Arabidopsis thaliana: one gene and its partners. The protein of the gene in region 3 interacts with the protein of the main gene of each other region in a pairwise test. Each region holds a gene or a part of one and is shown on either strand. Other genes may lie near its edges.

The links.
Region 1: the proteins of AT5G05790 (region 3) and DRNL interact in a two-hybrid assay, tested with the Arabidopsis thaliana proteins (one large-scale study listed by BioGRID).
Region 2: the proteins of AT5G05790 (region 3) and AT4G23860 interact in a two-hybrid assay, tested with the Arabidopsis thaliana proteins (one large-scale study listed by BioGRID).
Region 4: the proteins of AT5G05790 (region 3) and AT3G16280 interact in a two-hybrid assay, tested with the Arabidopsis thaliana proteins (one large-scale study listed by BioGRID).

What each region holds. Positions count from the first base shown.
Region 1 is NC_003070.9:8,712,328-8,719,516, forward strand, and holds DRNL (DORNROSCHEN-like protein), read right to left. Parts: upstream 3,052-7,189; 5' UTR 2,983-3,051; coding exon 2,062-2,982; 3' UTR 2,038-2,061; downstream 1-2,037. Other genes in the region: AT1G24577 (uncharacterized protein), read right to left, coding at 431-658. UniProt on the Arabidopsis thaliana protein: Required for correct embryo patterning and cotyledon organogenesis. May positively regulate the gibberellin signaling pathway leading to germination, hypocotyl elongation, and leaf expansion.
Region 2 is NC_003075.7:12,404,377-12,413,573, forward strand, and holds AT4G23860 (PHD finger protein-like protein), read left to right. Parts: upstream 1-4,630; 5' UTR 4,631-4,789; intron 4,790-4,918; exon of another isoform or gene 4,919-4,921; 5' UTR 4,922-4,959; coding exon 4,960-5,043; intron 5,044-5,157; exon of another isoform or gene 5,158-5,407; coding exon 5,408-5,566; intron 5,567-5,665; coding exon 5,666-5,938; intron 5,939-6,025; coding exon 6,026-6,778; intron 6,779-6,870; coding exon 6,871-6,960; 3' UTR 6,961-7,302; downstream 7,303-9,197. Other genes in the region: LACS4 (AMP-dependent synthetase and ligase family protein), read right to left, coding at 1-125, 227-472, 719-836, 943-1,018, 1,097-1,163, 1,537-1,624, 1,703-1,813, 1,932-2,099 and 8 more.
Region 3 is NC_003076.8:1,737,683-1,745,829, reverse strand, and holds AT5G05790 (Duplicated homeodomain-like superfamily protein), read left to right. Parts: upstream 1-3,643; 5' UTR 3,644-4,158; coding exon 4,159-4,574; intron 4,575-4,688; coding exon 4,689-5,106; 3' UTR 5,107-5,307; downstream 5,308-8,147. Other genes in the region: AT5G05800 (Myb/SANT-like DNA-binding domain protein), read left to right, coding at 1,079-1,384, 1,465-1,953, 2,042-2,596; RPN8A (RP non-ATPase subunit 8A), read right to left, coding at 7,654-7,719, 7,801-7,886, 7,973-8,030.
Region 4 is NC_003074.8:5,515,252-5,522,601, forward strand, and holds AT3G16280 (Integrase-type DNA-binding superfamily protein), read left to right. Parts: upstream 1-2,959; 5' UTR 2,960-3,049; coding exon 3,050-3,814; 3' UTR 3,815-4,020; downstream 4,021-7,350. Other genes in the region: AT3G16270 (ENTH/VHS family protein), read left to right, coding at 1-5, 96-1,025, 1,248-1,289; EMB2083 (AAA-type ATPase family protein), read right to left, coding at 5,936-6,151, 6,244-6,300, 6,378-6,500, 6,593-6,671, 6,763-6,848, 6,943-7,101, 7,338-7,350.

The DNA of each region.
Region 1 (7,189 bases), on a different chromosome or scaffold from region 3:
ATTTTAAAGATTAAAATTTACATTTCGCTTAAAATTTTGGAAACGTTGGACCAGTAGCAACCTCACACATTCATAGATCCGATCAGATTTGCTTTGTAATGCCCTTTGAAACACCTTAAAGGCCAACATCTTGAGGCGCAAGTATAATATCAAGAAAAAGAAAAACATTTTTTGACATAGCTTAACATTTGAAAGATTGTGTCAAAATTGATAAGTTGGAAAGTTATATTTTATTAATCAATTTATTAGAGATTAGAAGAAAGTAAATGTTAATATTTTACGCATACTCTAGATGAAAGAAACCTTCCACATATAAAACCAATAACTACAAGACGTAGAGACAGAAAGTAGAATAGAACTACTACCTTGTTTGGTCACTAGCATAATGCTCTAAAGAATAAACAAAAACAAACCCTAAGCTTCCTAGTGTCTACTTAGAATGATCTGGCTTTGTCATGAGACTTTGAAGAATGTTAGTCTCAACGCTTTTGTTACGCTGCAGCGAAGGAGTCCGGTGAAGCTTGCACTTGAATGACCCCGGGTGAGTGGTCGGTGAGCAAATGCAAATGGTCTTAGTGATGCTGGTCTGACGGGACAGACCCCCAAGGCCCATCGCCGCTATGGAAGCTTCAGTCTCCATGTTTCCTTTGTCGTTCATAATGTGAATATTAAAGAAGAAGGGGAATCAATGATGAACGAAGAGGGTATACCTCATTGTGTGTATATAATCATTTTATTATTTGAAGAAGCTTTAAGACTGAACAAATCTTTTTCTTTTTGTATGGTCATCACGGGAATGATGATGGAGTCCATCAAGGACCAACTGTATCCTTGAACTTTTCATGATGTTTCATCTACTTCTATCCCCAAAACCAAAAGGCCAAAAGCCACATAAGTCACTTTCTAATGGTTAATGATTCATGATCATGACTTCCATCATTCATCAATTATACACTTTTATAAATGTTGTAAATGTGTATACATTTATATAGTATTATACACTTTTATAAATGTTGTTGTTTATATATATGTATACATATATACTTTTATAAATGTTGTAAATGTAAATGTATATATATATATATATATATATATAAATGTGTATAATACTATATAAATGCAGTGCAATGCAAAAAAAACTTTTGTTATATACAAAGCGCATTGAATATAGAGGAAAACAATATGAGCTAGGAGCACTGAACTTCTATTTCATATTTAAATGAATATAATCTTTTCAATTAATATTTGGTAGAATAGTTCTATATATAGAATTGTAGTAACAACGAGATTTCAAATTCAAATAAGTGTTATGATTTTATTTTGAATGAATATCGATAATTGAATAATTTTATGATATATTTTTATATAATGTTTTGTTTTAAAATAAAAATTAATATAGACTGATGTGATCATATAAAACTAAAGACAGTCCCAACATCGTTCATATCACATCCACTAGAAATTCCAATATTTAGAAGATCTCTTGGATACTTGAAGAGTACCCCTAAAGATCATAATTGGGATATGGTTTTTTTGAATAAGGGTTATAAACATTGATGCAAATTCGAGTCCTTAAGTATATGTTTACTGAGTTTTGATGGTGCAAATACTTTAATGGACAAAGGATTTTGTGAACCTAAATATAATTATGCCCTTACGGTGATCTGAGAGGGAAAAGGGAAAGAAGAAAAAGCAAGAGGACAAAGGCTGTCTTTATGATTCTGAAGTCAACTTATAGAAAAGAAAAAAAAATCTTAATTTGTTCAAGATATATATTTTTGTCCTTTAGGTATTGTCTTCATCCAGCACCTCGAGTATTTTTACTTTATTTTTGTTATTACCTTTGCTCATAACCGACATATGTCATACACAATTAATTAACTTCGCTCATACTCAGATAAAAATTGTTCTTTGCTAAAACATAGAGATAAATTGATCATAGCACTAGACGAAAAATTAAAAGACAAAAGATTTGAGTTAGTTACCCTTAACCTCATTTCTTACAACCCTAAAGAAACTGTGAAGTGATAAGCACGTAAAAAGTAGAACAACAACAATATTCTAATAATCATCATGAAAGCAATACTGATAAAACATTCCACCATTTCCGTTCTGCTGCATCTTAGCTGAATCAAACCCATTCTCATGATCAGCCCAACCTAACTCTCCATGATATTTAACCTGACCGAATCCGTTTCCTTCGACATGGAAGTCAGCTAAACGAACATCTGTCTGAAAACCGCTCTCTGGCATCGTCGGGAAAACACCAACCGACTGTTGGTTGCTCTTTGGAGGTATAGAAGCATGTTGAGAGATAGGTTTTGGTAAGAAGCCTTGAACAATTTCTTGAAGAAGACCAGAACTAGCTGGTTCTGGTTCAAAGATATTTGATATCAGGCTCTCGTTCTCAATGGTACTTGACCTCTTAGCTTTAGGCGAGAGATCTTCACAGACATCGTTGACGTTAGTGAAGGACTCGTGAACAACGTCGTTTACGTTAGAAAGATTACAAGGCGGGTAAGCGAAAGTGGTTAACGGAGAAAGAGACTGAGAGTTTAACACGTCTCGTAGAAGGAACATATTCATTGGAGGAGACGAGAAAATACGGTGGTGATAAGAGTCGAGAGAAGGCATTGGGTAGACGAAGTTGGTTCGAGCTTTAAGACCACGCATGGCTCGAGCGGCGCAGTCATATGCGCAAGCTGCTTCCTCGGCCGTGTCAAATGTTCCGAGCCATCGTCTCTCCTTGGACAATGGGTCCCGTATTTCAGCTGCGTAACGACCCCATGGCCTACGCCTCACGCCTCGGTACCTTATCGTAGAGACACCGGAAGCGCCGGCGCCGGAGGCAGCTTTTGCGGTAGTTACTCCTCCGGGAGAGCCAGGAGCTGTCGAGGAAGTTCTTGATGGCTTTCTTTTCAAAGAATGGATGTTGGTTTCTCTGTGCTCGGCACCTTCGAGTCTCATGATTGCTTCTTCCATGGTTGACCTAAGGGAAATTTTTAAAGCTAAGAATTTTTCTTTTTGTTCTGTGATTGTCTTAGGGTTGTGAGGCACCTGAATGTGATGATAGCTGATTACGTATTTATAGAAAATAAAATATACATTTTTATTGTTTTTAATTTAAGATGGACCTGACCCAATATATAATTTAAAAAAATGGACTTGCATTGCATCTTTTATTGACTTGTGAGTTGTGAATCTATGAGAGATGCAGAAAGCAAAAGTACGTTTAACGAAGTTCTTGTTCCACGTTCGAACTTACATGTCTTTTCTTTTTCCTTTTCTACGGACTTGCATAAAAGCAGTTATAAGTTACATATTTCATGTCTTTTTGACAAGTAACAAATTCATAATTATGATGTACTATTTTTATCTTAACCCTTGCACCATTCTTTCTTATTGTCAGAGTATAAAGGTCCTTTGATACTGTTGATTAAAGGTCGATTTATTCTTTTGTTTTAAGTGAAAGACATGAATATATTTCAGAAAACTTTCTTGAACAATTTACAAATTAAAATTATAAAATCATTGATTTCATTTATTTTTGAACAAATTCAAAGGTCATCGTTTTCAGCTATTTCCGTTGGTCATATTATTCTTTAATCTTTACGCACTTTTCTTTAATTGTGTTTTGGGAAATAATCAATGGTCATTAATTTATAATAATAATGAATTACAGTAATAATAATAAGCAATAGAGTTAAAAGTGATTTATACAGTAGTTTGTGGAAGGGAAAATTATGATGTTGGAGTTGAAGCTTAAAAGGAGAGGGTTGAAAATCGTGAAATTATGATTCTGAATTAATAACACTGGCGGCGCGCAGAAATTGTTCCTTCTACATGAGGTTGTGTTTTGTCTGTTCTTTTTACGAGATTATGGTCGATTTGCTTATTTAGGGTTTTGCTTTTTAATCTGTAAACCAAAGTCACGTGGATTTGTCTCAACTAGGGCTCTTTCTTCATGGTGTAGCCTCTTTAGGGCTTTCCTACTGTAGCTCGATTGTGACTAATGACCCTTTGCGTTTACGGAAATCAATCTCCACCACTAATTTCGTATATATATGTTTGATAATTAATGTAATTTCGCATTTACATAAAAAATAATCTAAATCTCTCTCACATTCTTGATCAATTAATGTCTGTAAAGCTCCATTCATATTCGAGCCCTAAATATAAGGGTTGAATGCAAAAAAAAAAAATCCGTCAAAAAAAGTTTTATCACGCCTAGGAGAAAAAATTATCAATCGTCTAAATATAAGGGTTGCATGCAATTATCACGTATGTTATTATGTTTATCACGTAATTATTGACATATATCGCGTAGGAGAAAAAAAATATATCAACGCAGAAGTCTTTTAGGAGTGTCTAAATATTTTGCCGTTGTTATATATATAACGATTTACAATCATATCTAATTGCATGTAATTTTTTTTTCATTTAGGTTGTGCCGCGAAAAAATATGCAGATTGAAAAGAAAAAAATAACAAACAAAAAAATGGAATAAATATGTGAGGCAAACAAAAACAAAACTATGTTTCCTCAACAAAACGTTGGCAAATCATGTCTACAAACAGTAGATGTTGAAGGAAGAGAAGTCGTGAGCTCCTTGTGGAATTAGTGGATTATGAAGCTGAACACCACAGAGCTCAGTTTGTAAGGAATCGAAATCACTTTTAAAAAATGTGGAAATTTGTGGAAAACTTGAACCTATATAACGGTGGTATCAACTTGTACGTACACGGTACAACATATCAACAGAAGATTAATTCATGAAGTAGTTTGAATAATCGGCTCTAGCTAGATCTTTAATTCATAGAAATCAGACTAATATTCTAAACCTAAACGATATGGACGTCAATTTGTCAGATGGAGAAAACGGGAAAACTGTTAAGAAAAGAAAATCCTATATTTCTATTTTGATGCATGCTTCCGTCTTTCGAAACTACAAAGAATTAATTTGTAACTTTATGAGTTATGACAACAAAAAAAAGAAGTATTATCATAGCTTTGAAATATATAGGGTGGAGTAGTGAAAAAAAAAATATAGGGTGGTGAACACTATTGATTACATGATATAGATTATTGAGAAATTCCCAATATATCCACATAAAAGAATTAAATGAATGAGAGAATGTGAAAATGTGCTATTTGAACCCAAAATCTTAATTTATTTAATTCAAAAAATAAATGTGCTATGTGATAGGGGTTATAATACCTCAAAAATATATTTACTATTATGCTCAAGAGGCATTCTAGTTAAAGATTTTTTTTTATGTAACTTATTTAAGTACTATATATTTTAATATTTTGGGTTACAAAAAAAATATATCTTACAAAGGAAGTAAATTAAATGTGAGCTTGACCGAAACATAACGGTCCATGGCTCCCATAATAGTTTCTTTACATTTAGATGAAATGAAATTATAACTTTGGTCTTGAGTTGAAATGTCTGGTAATAAAAGAAGAAAATGGAAGGCAAAAATGAAGGGGCAAAGCTACGAAAGTAGGTTACATGCAATGGTACGACATTAAAGTTGATACCAGAATTGTCGCCTCTCTTCTAAACGCGTGGGTTTTTTCTCTGCACAATGCGTCTCTCTCTCTCTCTCTCTATCAATGGCAATATAAACAATATATTATGTTTGACTTTTTTCCCACACGAACGGGCCATCATGTTATATAATGTGATATCGATCGCTAATAGTTGTGGAATATGTTTGTAGCTACGCAAATTAAGGTCATATATGCTATAGCTTACATCCCAAATAAAACACACACGTTACACGTATAAGAAAATCATGCATGGAGCATGGTGATATAAACTAAATTCTTCCATGCATTGTGATATGTAATGCATGGAGCATGGTGTAAACTACATTCGTTTTAATTTCATCAAGATTTGCAATTTTCAATTAATTTTAGACAACAACTTTACATCAATAAAAAATAAAAAAATTTGGTCAGTGTTCGTTTTATTAAAATAAAATTTCTAACTGTACCACCGTACCTAATCGCATTTTCAATTTTTTTTTGCCATATGTTTTCTTTCAATTTTCATTTACAAAACTTGGAAACCAATGTCTCGTTATAGATTTTGATTTTGGAATATTTGAGAGGCACAAGATGACTTGAGCAAAGATCCCGGATCGTGTAGGTAGTCATGTGTTAGTGGATCTTAGTGAACGACCTCGATTCAAAGCTGCTCGAAATAAATTCTTTGTGTTTGTGTCTTGATCAATATTGATTACACTGGATTAGATTTTTGTGTTAACGCATTGCAATTATATGAATACCCTAGAAATAGGGGTTGTTTTAGTTTGCTAGAAAGATATATGGATATTAAAAGCACAGATTTTGGTCCCCTCTTAATCGTACACCGTATCTAAATTATAACCTAAACCTATACCAATTTTACCAATTCACGCACGTATTATACCATCCATTACTTGCTTTCACGTGATCTTTCAACGCACGTATGTATTCTTTTGGTGGAGATCAAAACTCATTAAGTTACTAATTCATTGGCCAAAAAGGTTTCAAAAGGGCTCCATATATAGTTTCCTATTCTCCACCATTGGTTAATTACCATTATTTGATTTATTTTGGAGATAACCGTTGCCGGTTGTACTACAAATAACTATGCAAGCCATTTAAAAAATAACTGTTGAACTGAGAGTTACCTCACACCTCTTCTGAACAACTTGTCCCCTATGTTTATAAAGCTACCTTATTAATAGCTTTATATCTAGATGATATACACACATTTGGAATTTCTTTTTTGTCGTCATTCGAAAATCTCCTGTAGTAAGGGCAAATAAATTTGTAAGAATTCTAGAGCAAGACAAGTGAAAACGTTGCTTTTTAGTTTTTTTAATAATTCAATGAATTATAATGTAATGCATTCAATTTTGTATCATATACGATACATAAAGATATTGAAAACCTTTCTATGATCTTTTTAGTAATAACGGAAACACAAATATCGAATGTTTAATTTTCCGGTCTAAAGCAAATCCTCTCGAGCAAAGATGGAAATTGATAAGACCCGCCGTCGAATCTAAAATCGTATGTTTGACCGTAAATCGAACGGCTACGATTTTCTACATGGGAAAGAACGAAACAAAAGATCCACGTGACGTGGTTGTCTATCACATCTGAGTTTGATGGACTTTATGGGCTCCACTCA
Region 2 (9,197 bases), on a different chromosome or scaffold from region 3:
TACTTCACCGTATATGTTTTCTATGTTCTCCACCGCAACATACTCTCCTTGTGAGAGTTTAAAGATATTCTTCTTCCTGTCAATTATCTTCATGCTTCCATCTGGTTGCCACTCACCAACATCACCTGAGAGTATAAGAAGCAGAGTGTGAGAACTGAAAAGAACTCACCGGACTACAAAAACCAATATTCTAACTAATTGTATACAAGTTCAGAGAAAGAAATACCTGTGTGCAGCCATCCATCAATGAGAACCTCTTTCGTGAGATCTTCACGTTTGTAGTAACCAGAGAAAAGGGTCTTTCCCCGAATGCAGATTTCACCACGTGCAGTACTCGCAAGAGCATCATATTCCATCTCGGGGACGGATTCAAGGCGTATATCAACGTTTGGCACTGGTGGACCAACTGTGCCGAGCATACCTAGTTCATCTGGCAGCGAGACAAAAGTTCCAGCACAGCTTTCAGTAAGACCTGTAAATGATACAACAACAAACGGACAACTAATCACATTCTCTGTTAGTGAGGGATCATATACTACATCACTCTGGATGGCAAAGATGCATGACGAGGCTCAATTAAAAACACTAGTACACGCAGAAAATACTCCAACTGTTTCACACATTCTAGGTGATTTATGAGAGATAGTGACTTTATCGAAACTGGCTCATTTATGTAGTTTCATTTGGATCTGAAGAACTCAATATATTGAATGGGTACCGTATCCTTGGAGAACATGACAGCATGCCACCACTCTTAGAAATGACTCTACGTGACTAGCAAGAGGAGCAGCTCCAGATAGAATAATCCTCACATTGCCTCCGAGTCCTTGTTTAACCTAAGTGGTAAAGCAAAAGAAATAATTGCTATAAAATTTCAAAACGAAGAGTGATAGGCTCTTCTGATGTTGTGTAGTATAGAATTTTATTGAAGAACTTTGCCACCTTGCTGAACACAAGTTTGTCAAAAAGTGGAGAGGCCTCCACATGAGACTGTCCCTTCTTCATATAACCAAATTTACTGAGAACGTTTTGAGTGTGTTAGATCATATAGCTTAAAGGTTAGTGACATAGATAAGCAAAGAGAAGTTTGACTTACTAGGAAAATGCAGAATCAAATATGAACTTTTTTAAGAATCCACCATCAGAAAGCTTCTTCTGAAGACCTGTTTAATATAATAGGTCAACCTAATGAGACACGGGTAACTTGTCCAAGTGAATAAACCATGTATATCAATGATACGAAATCGAATTGATAATTAGGAATATAAATAATGGGAAAATGTAACAATCACCAAAGAAGAAAGAATGAAAGCTTATCATAAGAATATTCTAGTAGAATTGAGAATATTTTTCACATTTGGTATATCCCATCATCAGCTAGTAATAGTTTCATGAAGGTGTGTAACGTGGTACAAATGTAAAACCTCAGATTCAGTTATTTGGAAAAAACAGATGATACGAGAACATAATTCAATATAGAGGGCGAATTGAAAAGTACTTGCTCTACTTGGGCATATGATATTTCAAACATCTTACCTGAGTATACTCTATCCAGGACACGAGGTACAGCACAAAAAATAGTTGGTTTAAGCTCAGCAAGGTCTTCGATCAACAATTTTACATCCTGAGGAGACAACCCGGAGAGAATTATAAGTGAGGAATTCAAAACTGGTTTAAATAAAAAGGTTCAAACTCTACTGACCCCTCGCCAGAAGCCAATTGCAGCACCATGTTGAATGAAACACTCCTCGATAACTCGGTCAAAGATGTGGGCAAGAGGAAGATAAGAAAGATACACATCTTTCACAGTCAGCTATTGATTTGCACAGCAAAAAAAACGATTAAGACCAGAGTCAGGAACATGGGAATCTTAAAGATTGCAGCTTCTTTGTGAATCCTAAAAAATGCATGAAAGCAAGAAGGAAACTCACAGCCTCGTTAGCACTTTTCAGTAGACGGATCACTCCAGCGATTAGAGTCACAATGCTTTCGTTAGATATCATCACTCCCTTTGGGTCACCAGTGGTTCCACTCGTATACATAATCGTGCAAATGTCGCTTTTCTTTTTGATTGGGAGATCATATTGCTTTCCTTCACCCTGGGAGAAATATTCGCAATGGAAAGTATAAACATGATAAGCATAGTTATAAGACCACTGGAAAGAAATATCACAGAATCAGTATATTTCAGGACGAGCAAATGTCAAGTCTCATACCAGCTTCAAAAATTCATCCCAAGCATATATAACCAACCCAAAAGTTTCAGCTTCTTCTTTTTGTTCACGTGAGACACCCCCGAAGCTCACAACAGCTGTAATTATAATCACGTACAATTGATCATAAGCACACTATGTTAACGGCCTAACAGGCCTAACACAAGAAAAAATCACTCACTTTTCATGTACTCTGTCGAGTTTGGGCATGTCTTGAACAACTGATAATCAAAATTCAAAAGCAAGTGGTAAGAAGAGGTTACAAAAATGTAAAATTTAGCAACGGTAATCAATGCATGAAAGTGATAAATATATATTTCACACAAAATATATATTCTTACTGTACCTCAGAGATCTTCTTCTCTTCCACAAAGACAATTGAAACCTCTGAATGGGAAATGATGAATTCCACAGCATCAGCACCTATAAAATTGACACGCAACAAAAATGACAAATAAGCTAGCTAAAAGATTTGTAGAAGCTCACTGGAAATCTATTGGCGAATTTATCCTTCTAGAGTATATTGGGAAATACTAAAAAAGGCATACCTAGTGTATCATATAACGGTACACAATAGAGTCCATGTGCATTACAAGCCTACATCAAAAGTGCACTGTCAGTCCTCTAACAAAACACAATCAATGACATAATCATGATTCAGCCGCAAAATTACCTCCATGCTGATAATCCACTCAGGAGAATTTGCACCATAGATACCACATTTTGCTTCCTAATATCCCACATATCAGGAAACACAAGATTAAGCAAGGGAATAATCACATTGCGACAAAAAAAGGAAATAATGAGACTGAATATAGATATCTGAAAGGAAAAAGATGGATCTTACGTCCTTAACTCCAACACTTCTGAGAGAATTTCCAAGTTTCATGACAATGTCGTAGACTTCTTGGTATGTTTGCCAGACATACTTACCCGGCTAAGAACAATCAAAATAACAAGTGAATTTTATAATAACATGAAACGAAAATCACAAAATCAAAATCAATAACAAACAGTAACAACACCTTTCCATCTACAATCTCGCGGCGTCCCAGCATTGGATTGTTTGGATACTTCTCAACAGACATGCTGCAATAAACAATAACAGTAGAAAAATGTAAGTCAACAACCACAAAATATCACCAAACCACACACAAAGCAAAACAAAAAATGTCAACCAAATTCATGCAACTGTTAATTAATCACATGCCACTCAAAACGATGTTATTATAGACAAATGGCAAAATCATTAACCAACAAATTATATTTCTATCGATTAGAGCAACTTAGGTAGATCTTGCGATCCGAAAAACTTAAACAAACATGAATCAAATCCAGATAAACACTAGACGAAATTAAACTATACGATTCTTACTACTTGAGAATCCATAAAGAGCAAAAAACGCAAGTCAGAACAAATTCCATGATCAGTCAACAGATCAAGGATCAAAATCTCAGCAAGAATCGGAAACGAGGCTCATGCAACACAAACTCCGATCGGTTAAACGAGAAATCTCACCGGAAAACATCCCAACAACTATCCATTCCTTCGATCGGGTCGGGAAATCCGTCCTTGGCAAAGATACTCCGGTACACTGGACCAACTGATGGTCTTCCATCGCTACCTTCTTTGCCTTCTTCAACTTGGAAGATGTATTTCTTCTGCTGCGACATGATCTCTCTCTCTCTCTCTCTACTTCGTTCTCGTTCTCTTCTCTCTCTATCTGTAGAACGAGAAACTTCTGACGCGTTTTCTCAGATCGGAGAAGAAGTTAATAGAGACTTTCAACTACGACTGCGATTGGTTGCTACTCACTGACCATAAACCTGAAAAAGTCAAAGTCATATTCAACCTCTTATTGGGCCGTATACGTATCATCATATTAGGCCCAATAAAGTCATATTATCCAAATTGAAATTTATATTAGCCAATATTTAGATTTTATAATTAAGATGTCAAGAAACAAAACAAAAAGTGTGTGATTTTGATTTAAATAACTTTAGATTTTATCAATATTTTATCCCCCAATTTAATTTTTTTTTTAGAGGTTATCAATTAATCTACGATAATTAAAAATATGCTTATTACTCTATTAGTATGTGTGTTTGTGGATAGATTTGACTAGTTGCACACAGATATGATATTTGTTAAACATTAGTTATCAAAACAAAAAAATAAATATAAATTTTCAATTCATAAAAAACCATATAAGCAAGAATTTGAGATTTTGATATCCGTTTAATCTCGATACAAATTAATATTAACATGTACATTATCAAGTAACAATACTTATCTTGTGCTTATGCTTAGTTGCTGATAGTGGAGGGAAAAGGGTAATAGAATTGGAGGGTTAATGGCGGGAAAATGTCGATAAAGTCCCTTCCTTTATATAACATACATAAATTTTCTCGCATTTAAGAATTTTAACATCCGCTAGATCCTTCTTTCTTCCAAACCCTTAAGCTCCACCTTCGTTTTCCCCAATTTCTCTCTCTCTCTGCCTTCGTTTATCTATGTCTTGAAAAGTGAAAAGCTTTAGGGCTTTTACAAGTCTGAGAACTCCATCAATAACCTGGTAATGGTCCGATTGACATGTTTGATGTTTTGCGAATAATCTAGGGTTTCATTTTTTTTAAGGAATTTAGGGAATATCTCGTTTGAGTCTTTCGAATAGCTTTTATTTTACCCAATTTCATGTTTTTAGTAGTGAATTCAGGTGGGAATTTGTGAAGAATAATTGCGACAATGGCATCTGGTGTTTTCGAGGATGAAGCTGAAGGAACTATAACGATCAATGAATATATCGAAAGGCTTGACGCAGAAGAGCTGGTAATGTTCTCTTTCTCCTCTTGATCAGTTTTAAAGCTTATGTATGTTTCTGATCCTTACGAAAGTTTAATACTCTTCCACATTTTCACTCCTTGGTTGGTGATAAATCGTTTAGATTTAAGTGTAAACAAACGTCTTGAAATTGGATTCTGACCTTAAATTGACTACCTTTTCTGAAGCTAGTGGAGTGTGTTGGATTGTTATTGTACAGTCTCTGAGGTTTTGGCTAGCTAGTAATGATAGTGTGTGTCTCTTAATTAGTTTCTATTAATTTCAGTAGTGTGTATCTGTTTCTGTAATCCTATGTTATTTGGGTTTAGGGGTTTAATATTCATTAACTGCTTTTGTGATTCTTGATGTTAAGGCAGCGGATTTGGTGTTGGGTGGAGATGAAGGAGATGAGTGTACTTTCCCAAAGGGTTACATGAAAAGGCAAGCAATTTTCTCATGCATTACATGTACACCAGAGGGGAATGCTGGAATTTGCACTGCTTGTTGCTTATCTTGTCATGATGGCCATGAGGTAAATATGGTTGATATATAGCCAGGTTATGTATTTTGAAATCTGATTTCATAGTGTTAATTGGTTTCCTAATGGTTGAACATTGTTCTGGTTATGAAGCTTTTGGAGCTGTGGACTAAGAGAAATTTTCGATGTGATTGCGGGAACTCAAAGTTTGGAACTTTGGCTTGTAAGCTTCTCCCGAGCAAAGATATAGAAAACTCTGAAAATTCTTACAACCATAATTTCAAAGGCTTGTACTGCACTTGCGACCGACCTTACCCTGACCCAAATGTGGAAGAACAAGTAGAGATGATTCAGTGTTGTCTCTGTGAGGATTGGTTTCATGAGGAGCATCTCGGTCTCACACCTTCAGACAGTGTTGGTAGCCAGGTTTGTGGCCAGTGCTTAATCTTGTTGTTTACGATTGATTTTTTTTGTTGTTGGCGCTTAGTGCAATTTGTTATGTGATGTTAACAGATTCCAAGGGATGAGGAAAGTGAGCCGATCTATGAAGATTTCATTTGTCAAAACTGCTCCCCAGCATGTTCGTTTCTGACACTTTATCCTGAGAACTTGTGGGTTGTTGCTAAAGTAGATTCCACTGGTTCTGCTAATGCTTGTTCAGAGACAATTGAGTTAGACAAAAACCACATGGATTCTGAACCCGGCCAGCCAGAGAACGGTACTGATGCTGAGAAATCTGTTGTAGGAAAATGTTCTGAGACGATCAGTGACTCAGAACCTGGCCAGCCTGAGAACGGCACTGAAGCCGAGAAATCTGTTGTGCAAAAATGTTCTGAGAAGATCGATGAATCTGAAGCCGGCCAGCCTGAGAACAGTACTGAAGCCGAGAAATTCGTTGTGCGGAAATGTTCTGAGAAGATCGATGGCTCTGAAAATGTTCCTGCAGCTGGTTGTGTTATTAGGACTGATCTAAACTCGTGTCCTGAGTTTGAGAAGAAACCTTTGTTTTTGACCAAAAACTGGAGGAACATCCTATGCAGATGCGAAAAGTGCCTTGAGATGTATAAGCAGAGAAAGGTAAGCTATCTACTTGATGCAGAGGACACAATTGTTGAATACGAGAAGAAGGCGAAGGAAAAAAGAACAGAGAAACTGGAGAAACAAGAAGGTGAAGCACTTGATCTTCTGAATAATCTAGACCACGTATCCAAAGTTGAGCTCCTTCACGGAATCAAAGACTTCCAAGACGGACTCCAGGGTTTAATGGTATATATTGTCACCATCTATGAAAGAAATTTGATTACAATTCTCAGGAACCACTTCATTTAAAAAGACTTGATTCGTTGTTGGTTTTGTAGGAGTCTGCTGGGCCATCAAAGGCGATAACTTCTGCAGATATCGAGCAAATGTTTTCAAAACTGAAAAACAAACGTAAAAGGATGGAGTGAGAGGAGTTATAAAGGTAGTAAGTCTTTCTTTCGACATTTCATGTTAACTTTTTTTAGATATATGTTGTTTCGTTGGTTTGAAATGAAGAATGAGGAGGTTTCTTTCCTCTTCCTCTGCTCTTGTCTGTCTTTAGTTTCCTAAGTAATGCAACCAACTTTTTACTTTAGTGCATGAAGTTTGTAGCTTATGAAACAGTCGACTACTATATATAATAAGCTACTAGTTCTAGAACTACTATTTACTTTTATCTTTCCAACTATTTTTATATGAATTTAGTAAATACTCTTATCTTCATAATGTGTCTTGGACTCGGAAATACTTTGAGCATGCTAAAAGGAGAGCTTTTTATCGTCTTTTATTATAACCAACGATGCCCCATTGTCAAAACAACTCATTAACAGAGAGAGAGCCAAAAAGGTAAGGAACAGAGCAACAATTACACATCGGTAATGTCTTGCGACATACTAAGGAAGTCGAAGATCATCAATTACACATTTCGCAATCTCATGTGCTCTTTTGTTGGATGTAGGAGATTGTTAATATACCGCTTTGTAACTCCGGAAGCTCCTTTAAGAAGCTCTATGGAGCATGCTAAAAGAAGAGCTACTACAAACTACACACGCAAAGTAAAAAACTATTATAAATTGGGCCTTCTAAAGTACTAAGAATTAGGTTTTGGGCTTCGGAAAACCAAATTCAGTTTACATGTGAGGTCATCATGTTTTTTGTTATGACAAAAATTAATTAAATAGTATTGTAGGCCTGACCAAAAAAAAAAAAAAAGTTTGCCAGAAATCACTTAACCGAATATTAATTCTAGGTCAGTTATTACTTATTAGTGTTTTTTTGTTGTCGACATGAGTTATTGTTGTTTTTAAGAAAATATAGATCGAAGTTGGAAGCTCGTGAGTGTTGGGCCCTTAGAGTAACGACAGCCCCCGTGACACCACCACGTACTTGTGTTGTCCTTTTGTAAATTTCCACGAAGTTTCGTTTCGATAAGAAGAATTTGATAACGATCCAATTATTGTATTACGCGTAGTGCTTAATGATAGGATCATCTGATATGATCGCGCTTCTTAATGACATTTACGTCTACATGTAAAATATCATGAATTATTTTTGTGTTCTTATGTTATTATTATAAGAACTAATGCAATAATTGTGGTAACACATCGCGATCACGCTTATGCAAACGATATAACCATATGACACAACGGTTTTAACTGTATTTGAGCACCGATCTACGAGTGTTTTAAATTTCTTCAGATGGCTTTAGTTTAGTGGTTTTGAAATGTTATATATTTTAAATCGACCTTGTACTAATATGGTTTTTGGTCCGTGAAATCAGGAGAGAATATTTCAAAAGAAATGGGTTTGACATTGTTTGAAACAGATCATAATATGAATGATTGGATTCTATTAAATGATATGCATTCTTGAGGGAAACGAATATGAATGTATCTACGACCACAAGCTATTAACATGTAACACTTATTTAATGAGTAGATGGGTTTTATATTAAAGTATACTATTTGTGATTATTGATTCTAACGACGATTATAAAAAAAATAAAGAAGACAGGTTGGGTGGTTGGTATAAATGTGAGTTGCCAGGTTTTAACACGGTTTTGGTTTGGTTTAAAGACACTAACTAACGGGAGAGAACATGAACTTGTGTTCTTATGTCTTCTATTCTAATAATTTATAGTATTGAAAAAAACGAAATAAAATAGCCACTAGGAGGATTAAAAGTACAATGAGTATGGAATTAGCTAAATGCTTATTCAATATACAGTACGTTTTGGTTATGTTGATTGAAATTGAAATTTAGATGCGTACATATCAGAGTTTTTCAAGTCTGACCCCACTCAAATTGGTTAATCTTATCAACTTGGAGGAGTCACACAATGATATCTACATGGCGTTTTACAAATATCTCTATGTCTTCCGTTTACGTTCCTCGTTTAGCTAATGTTTTGGTGGAAGAGAGCTCTTGTAGCTCCAGAACGTTGTTTGTTTTTGAATTAAAGCTAATAGAAATCAAATCATTGTTTGACCAAAAACACATGCATGCATGCAGGAACAATTCACATTGGATTTTGATTGAACTTCTAAAGTTTTGGCTAGTATGAACTTCGATTAATTGATAACCAATTTGTTCGAATAGAAATGGAAAGCCCTTTCGCATTTAAACTGTTCCATCCAAACTATTTCAATGTTATACACGTCAAAAA
Region 3 (8,147 bases):
CCTAGTGACGATTTGGGGGAGCTGGAGCTAGCTAGCTATTTCTGTACCATTATTTCTTAAATTTTGGACTAATTTCCATTATTTTTGTATCTGGATTTATACGTTACGGCCCATTTAAAGCAAATGTTATTTATTATTTGGTCGGCACCATTTAAAGCAAATCTTATTGCTGGAGTCCCCTATTAATTTTGGTAATCGTGGTCACCCTCCCCCACAAACTATATCTATACTTATCAATGATGCCGATAGTCACCTAAATATATTTGATTGGAACAATAATCACCTTTTCGATAAACCCATATTCAATTCTCCTAACTCCTTCACATAATCAGCTATAAAAATGTTTCGATAAGAAAGCAAAAAAAACATCTAAGTCGAGCAGAAATTTGAACAAAATCAAGACCGGACCCAACGCAAACCAGTCTCACAGTCTGTGTCCTCTTAACCAATCAGAGTATCTCTTCAAACGGAAACAAATAGTCAGGCAAGAACCGGTGTAATTTATTGGGCTATGACCCATGACCAAAGAACTCGGCCCAGCCCATAACTCTTAGAAAAGCCTTGGAAAATCCGTACAGCGCGGCGCAAACGCAAAAAGCAGAGAAAGAGAGGAAAAATCGCGATCGGCTTCTTCCAGCCACACCCGTCACAGAGTGGCCACTCAATCGCTGTCGCGTTTCCATCAGATTCCCGGTAACGTTTTCCCTTCTTCAGCTTCCCAATTCCCGCCGGCGAAATCCTAACCACTATCGTAGTTTTTCAGTCTCCCGATTAATCGAGTTAGGGTTTCGTGCAATTTTCCCCATTTTCGTGTTCGGTTACTACTGGGATTTTGAAGTAGGCGAAGTCTCAGGTCGCAAAATCATATTTTTCCCTGAAACACGTTTCAAGTAATTGCGTCTGCGTTCTCTGGTTCAATGCCTTGTTTATATGATTTGTGTTCAATATCTAGAATTGTTGGGTTAATGTTTATGCAAATGTCTCTGTCTCTCTGTGCTTTTGTTAAAAACGAGTTCACAATGATAAAGGTATCGTTTTTAATTGTTAGGAGTTTTGGAGAACAGAAGTTAAAAAAGAAATGAGGCCAAAAGCAGTGTGGGAGCCTGAGTATCACAGAGTGTTTGTTGATTTATGTGTGGAGCAAACGATGCTAGGGAATAAACCAGGGACACATTTTTCGAAAGAAGGTTGGAGGAACATATTGATATCGTTTCAGGAGCAAACAGGCGCCATGTACGATAGAATGCAGCTTAAGAACCATTGGGATACAATGAGCAGACAGTGGAAAATATGGCGTAGACTCGTTGAAACTAGTTTTATGAATTGGAACCCTGAGAGCAACAGGTTTCGTGCAACTGATGATGACTGGGCTAACTATTTACAGGTTTACAAATCAAAACCACTTGTTACATTCATTTTTGTTGATTTTATAAAATGCTAAAATGTGATTGCTTTGTGCCGTAGGAGAATCCTGATGCTGGGCAGTATCGGTTGAGTGTTCCGCATGATCTCAAGAAGCTAGAGATTCTCTTTGCGGGTTGTAATGTAGAGGTGAAAAATGATGAAGTCTCGGGTGTAAGGAAGAGGCGAAGAAGTTGTTACGAGGAAGAAGATGAAGATAACCAAAGCATGTGTAGTTCATCTAACCCTCAAACAAAAGGGTATTGGTCTCCGTCTACACATAAGCTGTTTCTTGATCTGTTGGTTCAAGAGACTTTAAAGGGAAATAGACCCGACACTCATTTTAACAAGGAAGGGTGGAAGACGATTCTGGGGACTATTAATGAAAATACCGGCCTTGGTTATACGAGACCGCAGCTGAAAAACCACTGGGATTGCACTAGGAAAGCTTGGAAGATCTGGTGTCAACTCGTTGGAGCAAGTAGCATGAAATGGGATCCTGAATCTCGTAGCTTTGGTGCAACAGAAGAGGAATGGCGAATCTATATTCGGGTATGATAATGTTAGTTGTCTTAACTATTATCCTTCTCCCATTGGACTACATTTTGAACAGATAGTGTTTGTCTTTGGTTTATTACAGGAAAACCCAAGAGCAGGACAATTCCGCCACAAGGAAGTTCCTCATGCTGATCAACTTGCAATCATTTTCAACGGAGTGATAGAACCTGGAGAGACATACACTCCTCCTTCGCGTTCGCGCAAGAAGCTCCTCCACAATCGTTCTGAATCACCACAATGGCGTGACACAACTCCATTATCAAAGATGCACGTAGATGAAGCAGAAACCTCCAGGCAAAATGGTTGTTATGCAGAGTCTCAAGAAGATCGGATAGACAGTGAAAACGCTCAACCATTGGATGATATGAAGTTAATGAATGACGTTATGTTGCAGGAAAGTCCGGTATTCGTTGAGATTGAATCGGCAAAGCCGATGTACAGCATTGGAGAATGCATTAAAAGCCTCAACGCAATTGAAGAGGTCGAACAAGGTAGTGAGCTCTACATGTTTGCGTTGGACCTGTTTCTGAAGAGAGAGTATAGAGAGATCTTCTTAGAGCTGAAGAAGCCCAGTTTGAGAATCGCATGGTTGCAGAGACTTCAATCTACTTCATTTCCTATTCCTACTACAACATAGGTTCAAGTGTATTTTACAAGCCATCCTTTTTGTACTCTGACCTCTGTCTCTGTCTGATGTTATACCCAAAAGAATCGTTCTTTGTTAGTTCTATGAATATGGATTATATAAAAACAGACAGGTAGAGAATCATGTTGATGAACCTTTGAATTGCCTAATTCTTAAGTGGTTTGTGTTAGAATTGTTCTCACTTTCATTCATTAGGAGAAGATATTTAGCATTTAGTTCTATGCATATTACGAGAGAGCAGAACAAGGTTTGGGACACCGACAACAATGGAGTGTGTGAAAGGGGCTTTTGAGTGAGAGTTGATGATTAGAATCTTTTTTGAATTAAAAAGTAGATAAAGCGAGTGACGACAAAAAACAGTACCCAAAGTGGGCAAAAAAAGGTTTAGTCGCATCCCAATAATTAATTACCCCTTTAAGGTTAAGGAGTAATTTTCTAAAAAGTAAGAAACTAAAATTAACGCGCCAGGTAGGGGTCGAACCTACGACCTTCTGCTTAGGAAACAGACGCTCTATCCACTGAGCTACAGGCGCTTCTGCATTTATTATATTTATTCTTTCTTTTTCAATCTTGTTTTTGTGGCGGCTTATGAAATTTCGTAGAAGTATCATTTTCAAGTGGTACGAAATACAAAAAAAGACATAAAGAATAAAGTGTCGTTAAGTTTAAGCTTACGTGTTATCTCGAATAACATTAATTAAGTTACATCTATAAACAATTTGTAGCAATCGCATTGTTTTTGTTAAGTAAAGCAATCGCATTGTTTTTGGTTTTTTTTAGTAAATTTGAAGTTTTTCTCCTTATTTTATGTGTGTTTTATGATTAGTTAAGCCTTAGACATAGCCGACGTATAACACGTAAACTATCATTAAGTATGAACAACTTTATGTGTTGTCGCTTTTATTTTGAATAATATTAGAGAAAAACTACCTAACAAAAAAAAACGGTGTATACTAGTGGTTATTAAAATTTTGGAAAGATATGAAATGTTGGCCTAGCTAGTAGCTAGTTAGAATTTTATAATTGAAGTTTATTGTTATTTTTAGAATTCGTGTCATTGTGAAGAATCCTCTTTGGAATAAAATGAAGCCAAGTAGGGGAGTGGAGTGGTTCCATTGGCTAAAACTTTTACACTCTCTCTTTCTCTTTATAACACAAACCACAAATACCTTCTTCTTCTCTCCCTTTGCTTCACAATCTCTCCCTATCTATCTTACTGATTATCTCTCTCTACCATCTGAGTTTTGCCTGTTTTGTATTACTTTGACGACCCACTTTTGCAGATTCTCAAGGATTCTTCAAAGTCTTAGTCTTTTGTGTTTCTTTCCAGATTCTTCAATTAATATACGCTATAATCTCTCACTAAATCAGGTTCTTTGATTCCATCATTAAACTATTCGTTAGTTTTCCCAGTTTGATTCCTATATATCTTTAGATCCTATAAGAAGCTTCAGTCTTTTACTAAACCCACAAATCAAGCTTCCAAGAATTAGAGGAAAAATATTAAGTACTTTATTTTATAGGTAGAACTTTTATCTCGTAGCCTTTAAACGATGGAGACTCTGCATCCACTACTCTCGCACGTGCCAACTTCTGACCACCGGTTTGTAGTTCAAGAGATGATGTGCTTGCAAAGCTCGAGCTGGACTAAAGAAGAGAACAAGAAGTTTGAGCGAGCTCTTGCTGTCTACGCTGATGACACGCCTGATCGCTGGTTCAAAGTTGCTGCTATGATCCCTGGAAAGACCATATCAGATGTCATGAGGCAATACTCTAAGCTTGAAGAAGACCTCTTCGATATCGAAGCAGGACTTGTCCCGATCCCGGGTTACCGTTCAGTTACTCCTTGTGGATTTGATCAGGTTGTGAGTCCACGTGACTTTGATGCGTATCGTAAACTTCCTAATGGAGCCAGAGGATTTGATCAAGACCGTAGGAAAGGAGTTCCATGGACGGAGGAAGAACACAGGTGAACAAAGTTTTCAATCTTTGTGATCCTTGTTTCACTCTTCTTTGGTGTCTTGAGTTGCAAGTTACTTTGTTTTCTTGGTTTGCTGAGACCTTGTTTAATTGTTTTCTGCAGGAGATTCTTGTTAGGGCTTCTCAAGTATGGGAAAGGAGATTGGAGAAACATATCGAGGAACTTTGTGGGATCAAAAACACCAACTCAGGTTGCAAGTCATGCCCAAAAGTACTACCAAAGACAGCTTTCCGGTGCGAAAGACAAACGACGGCCTAGCATTCACGACATCACCACCGTCAATCTTCTCAATGCCAATCTTAGCCGTCCATCGTCTGATCACGGTTGCTTAGTCTCAAAACAGGCCGAGCCGAAACTAGGGTTCACCGACAGGGATAATGCAGAGGAGGGAGTTATGTTTCTTGGTCAGAATCTATCCTCGGTCTTCTCTTCCTACGATCCTGCCATTAAGTTTTCCGGAGCAAATGTTTACGGTGAAGGAGGTTACTGTATCTCACAAGATCTTGAAACGAGAAAATGAGAATTTTGAAATTTTAACTATTGCAACGAAACCATAATTATGTTTTATTTAAAAAGTTATGTTACATTATTAGAGGAATGTGAATATGTATGTCTTGTATTTATGGAATAAACATATATTAGCTAGTATATATGTCTCTTTGCCAAAACTATCAATAATGGTGAAAAGGACCAAGTACCGGGTTTATGGCTTTACTTGCAACTTTAACGGTCAGTCATTTTCTTGGAAAATTGTCTCTAAACCTGAACATTTGATCGATGATAGTAGATAAATTAGTATAACATTACTCATTTACGTTTTATATTTTCTTAAAATGATTCATCACAGAACTATACACAAATACTGTTTTCTAAGGTAAGAAATTGTCTTTAGCAAAAAGAATGTATAGAATTTTATGTAAGAAAAAGGAATTAAAAAGTGAGGGTTGGATATATTTGTATGTGTGTGTATGGGTGGCAAAGCTGACCACTAACTTGTAAACGGTATATAATTAGAAGCTGAGTCTGCATTCCACTTTCGGCACACAGAATCACATTCTTTTCACCTATTACACCAACCCTTTGCTCCCTCAATTTTGTTAAGTTTATAAATAAATTAAGGGTGTCCTTGGATATATTATTACTCTTTACAAACAAAAATAGCAGTTTAGTACAAGTGGAACATATATACAAGCTCCTGTTTTAAAATTATTTTAAGAATGTTTTTTTTTTTCCGTATTTCTTTTAGTTAATTTAATAAAGAGCTAGAAAATGTGATATATGTTTTCTTTCATATCAGAAGGAATATATAATGCTTTGTTTTTTCCCTTCTTTTTGTGAAAGAAGTCAAGTTGGAATTTATTAAAAAACATAAACAAAAGTGATTTAGGAAATTTCATTGGATGAACGAATCGTTAAAGATACTTATTTTTGTGCAAATAAAGAGAAGTTATATTGAATCGCTTTGTTATAAATTTGAAAGCTTTTAGTTTTCTAATTAAAAAATTTGAGAATATAAAAGAAAAGCTCACTTTTTAATCACGAACAGTAAGTAACTACTAACTACGTAATATGATTACTCTATCTCCATATATTAATTTGATTTGATCAGTAATAGTGAATAGTATATACTATATATAGTCACTTTAAGAGCATCCGAACCTTATTTATTTTTTGCATGCGGGAATAAAACCCTAAGATACTACTTAATAATGTAGGTCGGTTGGAGTCGATATAATTCTAACACCACCTATGACATTCATCGATGAAGATGATGAACCATATATATTTTTAACGAAAGTGGCATCACACAATTCAATTTGTTATTTTTTTTTCGTGGCTCCACTTTTGATGAGGCGTTTGAATGGAACCCAATGAAAGGTCAATCAATAATAGCCGTATAACTTATAATATGTTTGGATCATAAAACTGAGAATTTTTGTATTGACACCTTTCTATATATGTCTATTTAGTAACACTCAGAACGTTCTTTATATAAATTAATCACTTTGGTTACTTCGTCACTATGGATTTGGTCACCTCAATGGGATATGCGACCTAACCACTAACTAACATACTAATATGAAAGTCGTCTTCTTGAATGCTTACGTCACGTCTGTATAGTATACAACTACATTGTTACTTTTCGTAGTGAGCTACGTTATTTTGATTTTTATTTTGTTTACACAAAATTATAACGGTTTCGATTTTTGAAACTTTTTTCTTATAGATATCTAAGTAAAACAGGACAGTAATATATTGATTTGCAAAATGAGTATCCTTAACAAGGATTAACATAATACACAATAGAAAAAGAAGGTGTTCAAAAGAAGTAGACTTAGAAAAAGAAGAAGCATAATGCGTATCAAAGCACGTTCTTGTTTTCGTTTCTGTCTTTTGGCATCAAATATCCTTTTCACGAACATTACGCCATTTATTAACTTTATTTTCCTCCATAATCCTTTTTCACTTTACTTTTTCTTCTTGTTGTTTCTTTTCAATTTAAAGAAAAGCTCATCAAAATGTATAGTCTTCCTTTTTACATCTAGGTAATATGCAAATTATTCAGTTCTGCTAGTAAACAAATTCATAAGTAACACCCTTGTTGTGGTCAATGGCTCTAATCAGAAATTTCATACTAAGGACAAACATGAAGAACATGTTGACTTTGGAAAACGAACAACATTCAACCGGGGCTGTATACTCGGTCACGATGTGAGAGTATAACAGAAGGGGGGGGGGGGGGGGGGGGGAAATGTGAAAAAAAAAATCTTAATTTCAATAGGATAAGACCATCTCTGTGGAGATTTCGACACATTGACGTGAACTTTTGTATTCAAAACCCCCTCAAAAGAGGCCTAAGCCTAACGAACTTGAAAGATAAAATGAAAAAAGACTCTTTGATACATTCTGAATCAGAACAACTGAGAGAATTCAACAATGTCGATATCAAACTAAACTCGTTCGTTCCCCCACCCTGACTTGACCCTTTGTTTTGGGGAAGAGAACACACAATAGCTGCCTTCATCGCGGGCAATGATGACTACAGTAAGTCACGAGAAAACCTGATCTAGCTGGTGGCAGGTATGGCCACAGGCTTTGAGTCCTCTGCTTTTTCATGTTCCTTGTTCAGTAACTGAAACACAGCATCATCACAAGATTTAGTTCAGAATCACATTATTGTGTGCCGTGAGAGAGAGTAAAGTAAAGATCTAACCTTGTTGTTGATCAAGTTGTGGAGCGCAATTACACTCCGAATGAGGGATGATAGATAGATAACGAGCATCATGTCATTTGTTTTCACTGCACATTATAAATACAGTAAAGATTAATGAAGCAGATCTAAGAAAGCAGCCCAATATAATATCAAAATGATAGCAGAAACTCACCGGAGAAGGCCTTGACCAACTCGTTCACATTCAGGTTAGGAAGCAAGTTGAAAACGTCCTGTCGATTTTACGAGAATATATTTCATTAGACGAAATCAACCAACAGCAGAGACAGTGACTAGAATATTTTAAAGAGCGCAAAACACATAGGTTTGGACATTGTCAAATAGTTTCT
Region 4 (7,350 bases), on a different chromosome or scaffold from region 3:
ACAAGGTAAGCTTCTGCTTGTTATAACCATTCACAAAACTCTTTTTTGGCATTATGCTAATTTGTTGGTTAACTCGAGATACCGATGTTGTGTAGGTTCTGAGCCTTCTAAATGGTGGACAGTCAAGTGGGTTGATGAGCAGCTCTGATAATACTGTGAAGCGAGAGGCTGCTGTTGATTTACCTGACTTGATTGACACCGGTGATTCAGACGATACTTTGAACAATCTGAATGCTATAGATACTGGCAGTACAGTGGCGACAGCAGGTCCATTGATGGATGATGATTGGTTTGGGGATAGCTCTGACATTGGACTGAGTAGCAGCGAGAAGAAAACTGATGACGACCCCTTTGCAGATGTCTCATTTCATCCGAATGAAGAAAAAGAAAGTGCAGATGACCTCTTCTCTGGAATGACTGTCGGGGAAAAGTCCGCTGCTGTTGGTGGTAATCATGTGCCTGATCTATTTGATATGTTTGGGTCAACTGCAAAACTTGAAGCAGAGCCAAAAGATGCAAAAAACATTAATGATTTGATGGGAAGTTTCTCCATTGACGAAAACAATTCAAATCAGAAAGGCTCGTCTTCAAGCACTCTTCCACAGGATTTATTTGCAATGCCGAGCACCACCAGCCACCAAGCACCGGAAAATCCTGTTGGAGGCATTCTTGGCTCACAAAATCCTGGGTTTATTCAAAACACAATGCTTCCTGGAGGTGTTATGCCATTCAATTTTCCTCAAGGGATGATGATGAATCCAGCTTTTGCATCCCAACCTTTGAATTACGCTGCCATGGCAAGCTTGTTAGCTCAGCAGCAGCAGTACCTTGGTAATATGTCCAACTTCCAGCAGTTCGGCAATCTGAACGCTCAGGGTAGCGGAAATGTTCTTTCTATGGGTACAAGTGGAGGGAATCAGTCCGCACTCCCTGATATATTCCAGCCAAATTTTGGTAATCAGGCTCCAACCTCAACAATGAATGGTTCGAAAAAAGAAGATACCAGAGCCTTCGATTTCATTTCTGTAAGTTTTGCCATCTTGCTCCTGATCTTTGATTCTAAAGTTTGGTCAATCTGCCATTTGTCTTTGTACATGTGACATCAAATCTCACACACATAATGTCTAGCTCGATTAAAACCACCTAAACATAGTCAGACTAGATCTACTTTTGTGGCATAGTTAAAAAACCTTCGTTTGATGTACATACACTCATGGAGCAACTACATAAATGTTTGTGTGATGCAGGATCATCTTACATCAGCCCGCGACACAAAGAGAGTATCTTGATGGTTGCTTACAAAATTCCGCCTTCCAGTGTTAAATGCTATTTCATGAGATGTGGACACAAGGGTGCAGGAAGCTAAAACATTAATTTATGAGAGCTGTATAGACTTGAGGAGAAAATGGAGATAGCTTTATAATTCATATGGTAAGGGTTTTTGCTTCTTTTATCTGTTTCCTCGTTTTGTCTTTGGTTTTTCTTCTTCTTTGGAGTCCATTGTTCTTGGCATGAACATGTAGTTGTAGAGTTGCTTTTTGTTTGTTACTAGATGTGTTTATTTTGTTCCGTTGCTATATATTATATCTGAAGAGACTTGTGTCTGTGTATCGAACGTAGACAAGAAAGGAAATGAAACTGAGAAAGGAAATGCATATGAATAGTTTAAAGACTTCAAGTCAAGTCCAGTTGTTTTTGCGTTTCTTAATTAGAAAATTTTGTTGATGGAGAAAAACGAAAGCCAGGGATAATTTTGTTTAATCGTGATGTCTGTTACAATTTGGAGTAGTTAATAAAATAAGGTAGATCTAATCTAAGTGGCTGCAATGAGCTTTTTTTTTCTCACACGTTAAACTTGGTCCATATTCTCAGCATTGCCTGTTATACTGGTTTGCTCATTTTAAATTGGCGTTACTTATTTTAGGATACATCCATTGGTCAAGTGTTTGCATTGGTGTAGATATTTTCATACGATAAGAAAGAAAGAAAGCTAATAATTTCTCAATCTATTTAGGTGAAACTATTCAGAGTTTGATTAATGAGAGAAAAAGGAAATGATGCCCCTTTATTTTCTTACCTGAAGTTTAATAAGAATGCATCTTTTGTGTACTTTCTACCAACGGTAAAGATTGAAAAAAATGGTGGAAGTTACTTTTCTTATCTTTTTAAAAAGTGGTAACGGGAAAATGACGAGTGACATCCTCATTACATAAATCCAATTAATAAGATTTTGAGGTTCCCATACTGTGTAAATATAAAAATAAAGAATGAATAAAAATACCTCAACGGGCAGATTGATAGTGACATATGGAAGTAACTTTAGACTCTCCAAGTCTCTCTCAAATAGGAAACGAAGGAGACATTGAGATTATTTTTTAGAAAGTTAATAAACGATCTCTTCTGTAAATCTTTTCTTTTTACATTCTCTGCATCTTTTATGCTTCTTTGTTGGCAAATCCATCCTCAGTTTTATTTCGTTTAAAAAATTATCAATATGGTCAAATGTATATTACATATAATAGGTGTAGATATATTTTTTTTTTTTTTGGATTTTTATAAAATCTTCATGATAATTGAAAGATGGGTAGGCTAAATGTCACTTAAAATGGAGCGTCTAATTTCATTAGTCAAATTAAGTATTTATTTTCTTTGATAGTTTGACACATTTCCACCAAATTAATTAGCCTTTGAAATAAGAAATAGTATGCTTGTTGACAAAAATTAAAAGAAAGAAATAGTCTAATTCCACCCAAAACAAAGAACAATCAAAATAATCTAAAAACAAGAACACAATAATAATAGTATGCAGTTGTAAAATCAAAATCACAATTTACTCATATGTATATGGAAAAAAATAAAAAAAATACTATACAGTTTTAAGAGTCTAATTTGGTACGATTGACGGTTGTAATAATTACTATTGATTCTCACATCCAAAAACCAGAAAAAAAACGTGTTATGTTTTTATACTAAAAGAAAGTTTATTAAAAAAAAAAACCTCAGAATCAAAGCTCTCTCATTAGCACTTTAGCAGTCAGTCTATAAATACATGTCTCACATCCACACAAAAAGAAGAAGTAAGTATCAAACGAGAGTACAAAAGATGACGTCACTCAACAGCTCTGCATCACCAACATCATCGTCATCAGACCAATCTGATGCAACTACTACAACAAGCACCCACTTGTCTGAAGAAGAAGCTCCACCCAGAAACAACAACACAAGAAAGAGAAGGAGAGATTCTTCTTCTGCTTCTTCATCTTCTTCAATGCAACATCCTGTTTACAGAGGTGTGCGGATGAGAAGTTGGGGCAAATGGGTCTCCGAGATCCGACAACCTCGTAAGAAAACTCGTATTTGGCTCGGCACTTTTGTCACCGCTGATATGGCTGCTCGTGCTCACGACGTCGCTGCTCTCACCATCAAAGGCTCCTCCGCCGTCTTAAATTTCCCTGAGCTTGCTTCTCTCTTCCCTCGTCCGGCGTCATCATCGCCGCATGATATCCAGACAGCCGCCGCAGAAGCCGCCGCCATGGTGGTCGAAGAAAAACTGTTAGAGAAGGATGAGGCTCCGGAGGCCCCACCTTCGTCGGAATCTTCTTACGTGGCGGCGGAGTCAGAGGATGAGGAGAGGTTGGAGAAAATTGTGGAGCTGCCTAACATTGAAGAAGGAAGTTATGACGAGAGTGTGACATCACGTGCTGATCTGGCTTATTCTGAGCCGTTCGATTGTTGGGTGTATCCTCCGGTTATGGATTTTTATGAAGAAATATCGGAGTTTAATTTCGTGGAATTGTGGAGCTTTAATCACTAATTAAGTTAGGAAAGTGCATTATATTGCAATATTGCATCATAGATAACATTTGTATTTCTTTTCTTTTTGTACGGATACGTAGCATATGCTACTATACTAGGGCTAGTGTACCAAATATTGTAAAATATACTTATTAATATTTATGTAAATGTGTAATATATATAACATACAATTATTGTAAGTTTGGAAATTGGAAACTATCGTTACGCAATGTTCTTGTACTTGTGAATCACAACAAACAAAAATGTTATTTAACTCTTCTTAAACGTATAAATTCCTAAAAGAGTCAATGGTCATTCTTTGTTTCTTCTCACCAGTCAATAACCCTCTTCTCCAATGCTGACTATAATTGATTTTAAATTGTTACAATTATTGTGAAGAAAATAGTTGGAATCTATGACAAGTTGACATTATTCTATAACTACATTCCAATTTACAAGATTGAAGATTATTAATCTAGGTATGTCGATTAGATAATTCCAGAAGCAAGAAATTTATATTATAGTTAGGTAACTGTAGGAGTTTAGGTTGGAACAAAATTTGTAATGATCAAATATGAGAATGCATTATAGAACACTCTAAAAATAATTCAAATGAGGTACACCGTCCAATCTTTTTTACTTATTTAATATTTTGACTAATTATATCTTCTTCTTTTTTTTTTGTGCACCAACATTACTAATAGAATATAGTTTATGTTTGCAAAAAAATAACATTGCTTCTGCTGTGAAAAACGTTTACAGTATAACCAACATAAAATCACTGTGGATAAAATGAAATTCCTTTATTTCGACCAACATAAGTACAGAACATTAACGGTCACGTACTTTTGTTTTGTGTTTTGGTCACGGGTTCATCCTTATTATAATTCATATTAAATTCCACTAATTCGTTTGTTTTTATCAAACTAGTTAAACTTTTGCCAACAAACCGAAAAGATCAATATTCAAAGAAGAAAAATGCATTTGAATTTTTAATAAAAGGTGGAGTTACAGTTCAGATTCCATAGTCACATAGCTCTTTATTTTGAAACTGTTACGTGATTTTTAGTCTTCTTAAACACGGGTTTTGTTTATTTCTTTAATATTTGAGTGTGTTTAATTTTAGCTTAAATATAGTATTTAACTGAATATGAGTAGAGATGGTGGTGTGGGAACGAGCAAGTCAAATACTGCCGTTGTGGACCTCTTTTCTTGTTGTCAAATTCTTTTGACGAATTCAATTTTTATTTTTTTTACCGTTGTTTAAGAAGATTAATAATTTTGGACACTTTATATGAGACAAGAACCCAAAGAAATCGTATTGAACCTATATCCAGATTATAAAATATGAGAAAACTATTTTTAACATATTAATTTCTGTAGTGCTTTGATAAAATTCAAATAAACGACTTTTATCATTAATAACAGTGAAGTGAATTGTATAGAACAATTATGTACGTAAGAGTTTTAAATAATAAAATTAGAAAATCGGTTGGGTATTTCGATTTTTTAGTAAACAGTACATGATGATGAGTCGGGTGGGTTCAATAATAGAGATTAAGCCATTAAGGTGGCCAATTACCAATAAGGAGGTTAAGTAAATGATTTGGTAAACGGGTTAACTAAAAATAAAATAAAAATTGGTAACACGTAAATATCATTTAGTTGTCAAATCTTGCAAGTCAAATGTTATCTGCTCTGTAATAATAATCAAATAGTTGTATGTATATCGACCAACCTAAGCACTCTTGATTTGATTCTCATCAATTTGCAATTTCACCTAAATACCTAACAAAAAGAAAAATCATGGATTAGCATGTGCCCATTGTTCAATGTCTTCCAATTTTTATATATAGCAAATTAAAATAATCCACATGCTCCACATAAGTTCATGACATAAAAATTCATAATCCTTTTTTCAAGATATGTGAAACAATTTAAAATTGACTATTGCTTCAATATGGATAAAAAGAAGTGTTATACTATATTGAAGCTCAAAGAATTATCTAACATGTACTATTACAAAGATTACAGAGGAAATATAGATAAAGGATCAACCTCATTGTCTCTATAATGGGTTTTTGATGTTTATTCCCTACGATTGTCACGAACTGTCTCTTTTCTCCAAATTACAATCATCTTATGAACTGTTTCTTGCGGTAGTCATGTCCAGTTTCAGCACCATCTCTTCTAGCTCAAGCCGTTTGATCTTCCTAAGTTCAAGGATACTCGGTGGCATTGGTTTACTGGACCCATAGAGCTCAACAAGAGTGAAGAATTCTTGTTTCGTTAGACTTTTCTTTTGAACCAGTTTCTCTACCACCTCGTCCATGAGCGTCCTGTTTCTTCCAAGAATCTGGTGTATGCGTTTGTAAATATATATTTAACAAGACCAATATAAAGGAGATGCTATGATATAGATGTAGTTGATTTAGAAGTCTACTTTACCTCTTTAGCACGCTCGTAACACATGTTCAATATCCGCAATGCCTCCACATCAATATCCTGCAAATCCATGTATCAGAAGATGATATCTGTTCTCTGAAAACTGAAGTGAAAACAATGTCAAGATATGGCCTTACGTTAATTCGATCAGCTACCCAGAAGTTATTCAAGCCATGATGCTTATCAGAAAGACCACCAAGAACCAATGATCGAGCAGCTGATCTTGCGTTATCCGATGTTTCAGCCCATATCGTGCTTAACTGTAACAAATCATTAGCAAAGGTTGGTAAACTAAAAAAAAATATGACCACAGTTATTAGAGAAGAGTAAAATGATATATCATATCTCTCACCTGATCCTCACCGTACCATAGTTCATCTGCAGCACGGGGTGCTAACTGAACAGTGATGTGATCCAAGATGGATTGTCGACTACATATAGTAGACCACCAAAGGACATATAGATTAACATAAAGAACCCGTGTAATCATGAAAGTAAATCTGTATGATGAAAGCCACAAACCTAAGCATGCCTTCCTTAAATTTGATATGATCCATCTTCACCCGGACATAACCCAATTCTCTACCAGCTCTAGGGTTGATTGTCAGCTGGTCAAGGTCATCGAAATGTCACGGTGCGGTAAAACAGAAAGTTGAAGCTTCATTCAATGTATGAAGGGGAAAAGAGATTTAAGAAACCTACAAATTCTATATTCTTCATATCAGGAAAGTTCACTGCTACAACAGCCATTGCAGCTTCATTGATCGCAACTTGTCGCCATGTCTCCAAGCTCCTGTCTTTTCTATCTAACATTCCTCTTTCTTCTATTTGTGCAGCTTGAAGCAAATCATCTGTTGTTAACTGCATTAGAGTTACAGAATATAGATGATTTCTCAGTCTTTTACTTGCTGGAATCAAAAATAGACTTCTAAACTTAATATTAGCCTAAGCTTCCTATCGAGCACAACATCCAATCACTTAATTTAATTCACACACACCATATTACCAGATGCTACACGATCCTAACATTTGAAACCAAACCCATCCAAAAAACAAGAGCAGATATAACTAATTTGAACTAAAAATATTGATCCCACCTCTGTTCTTCCA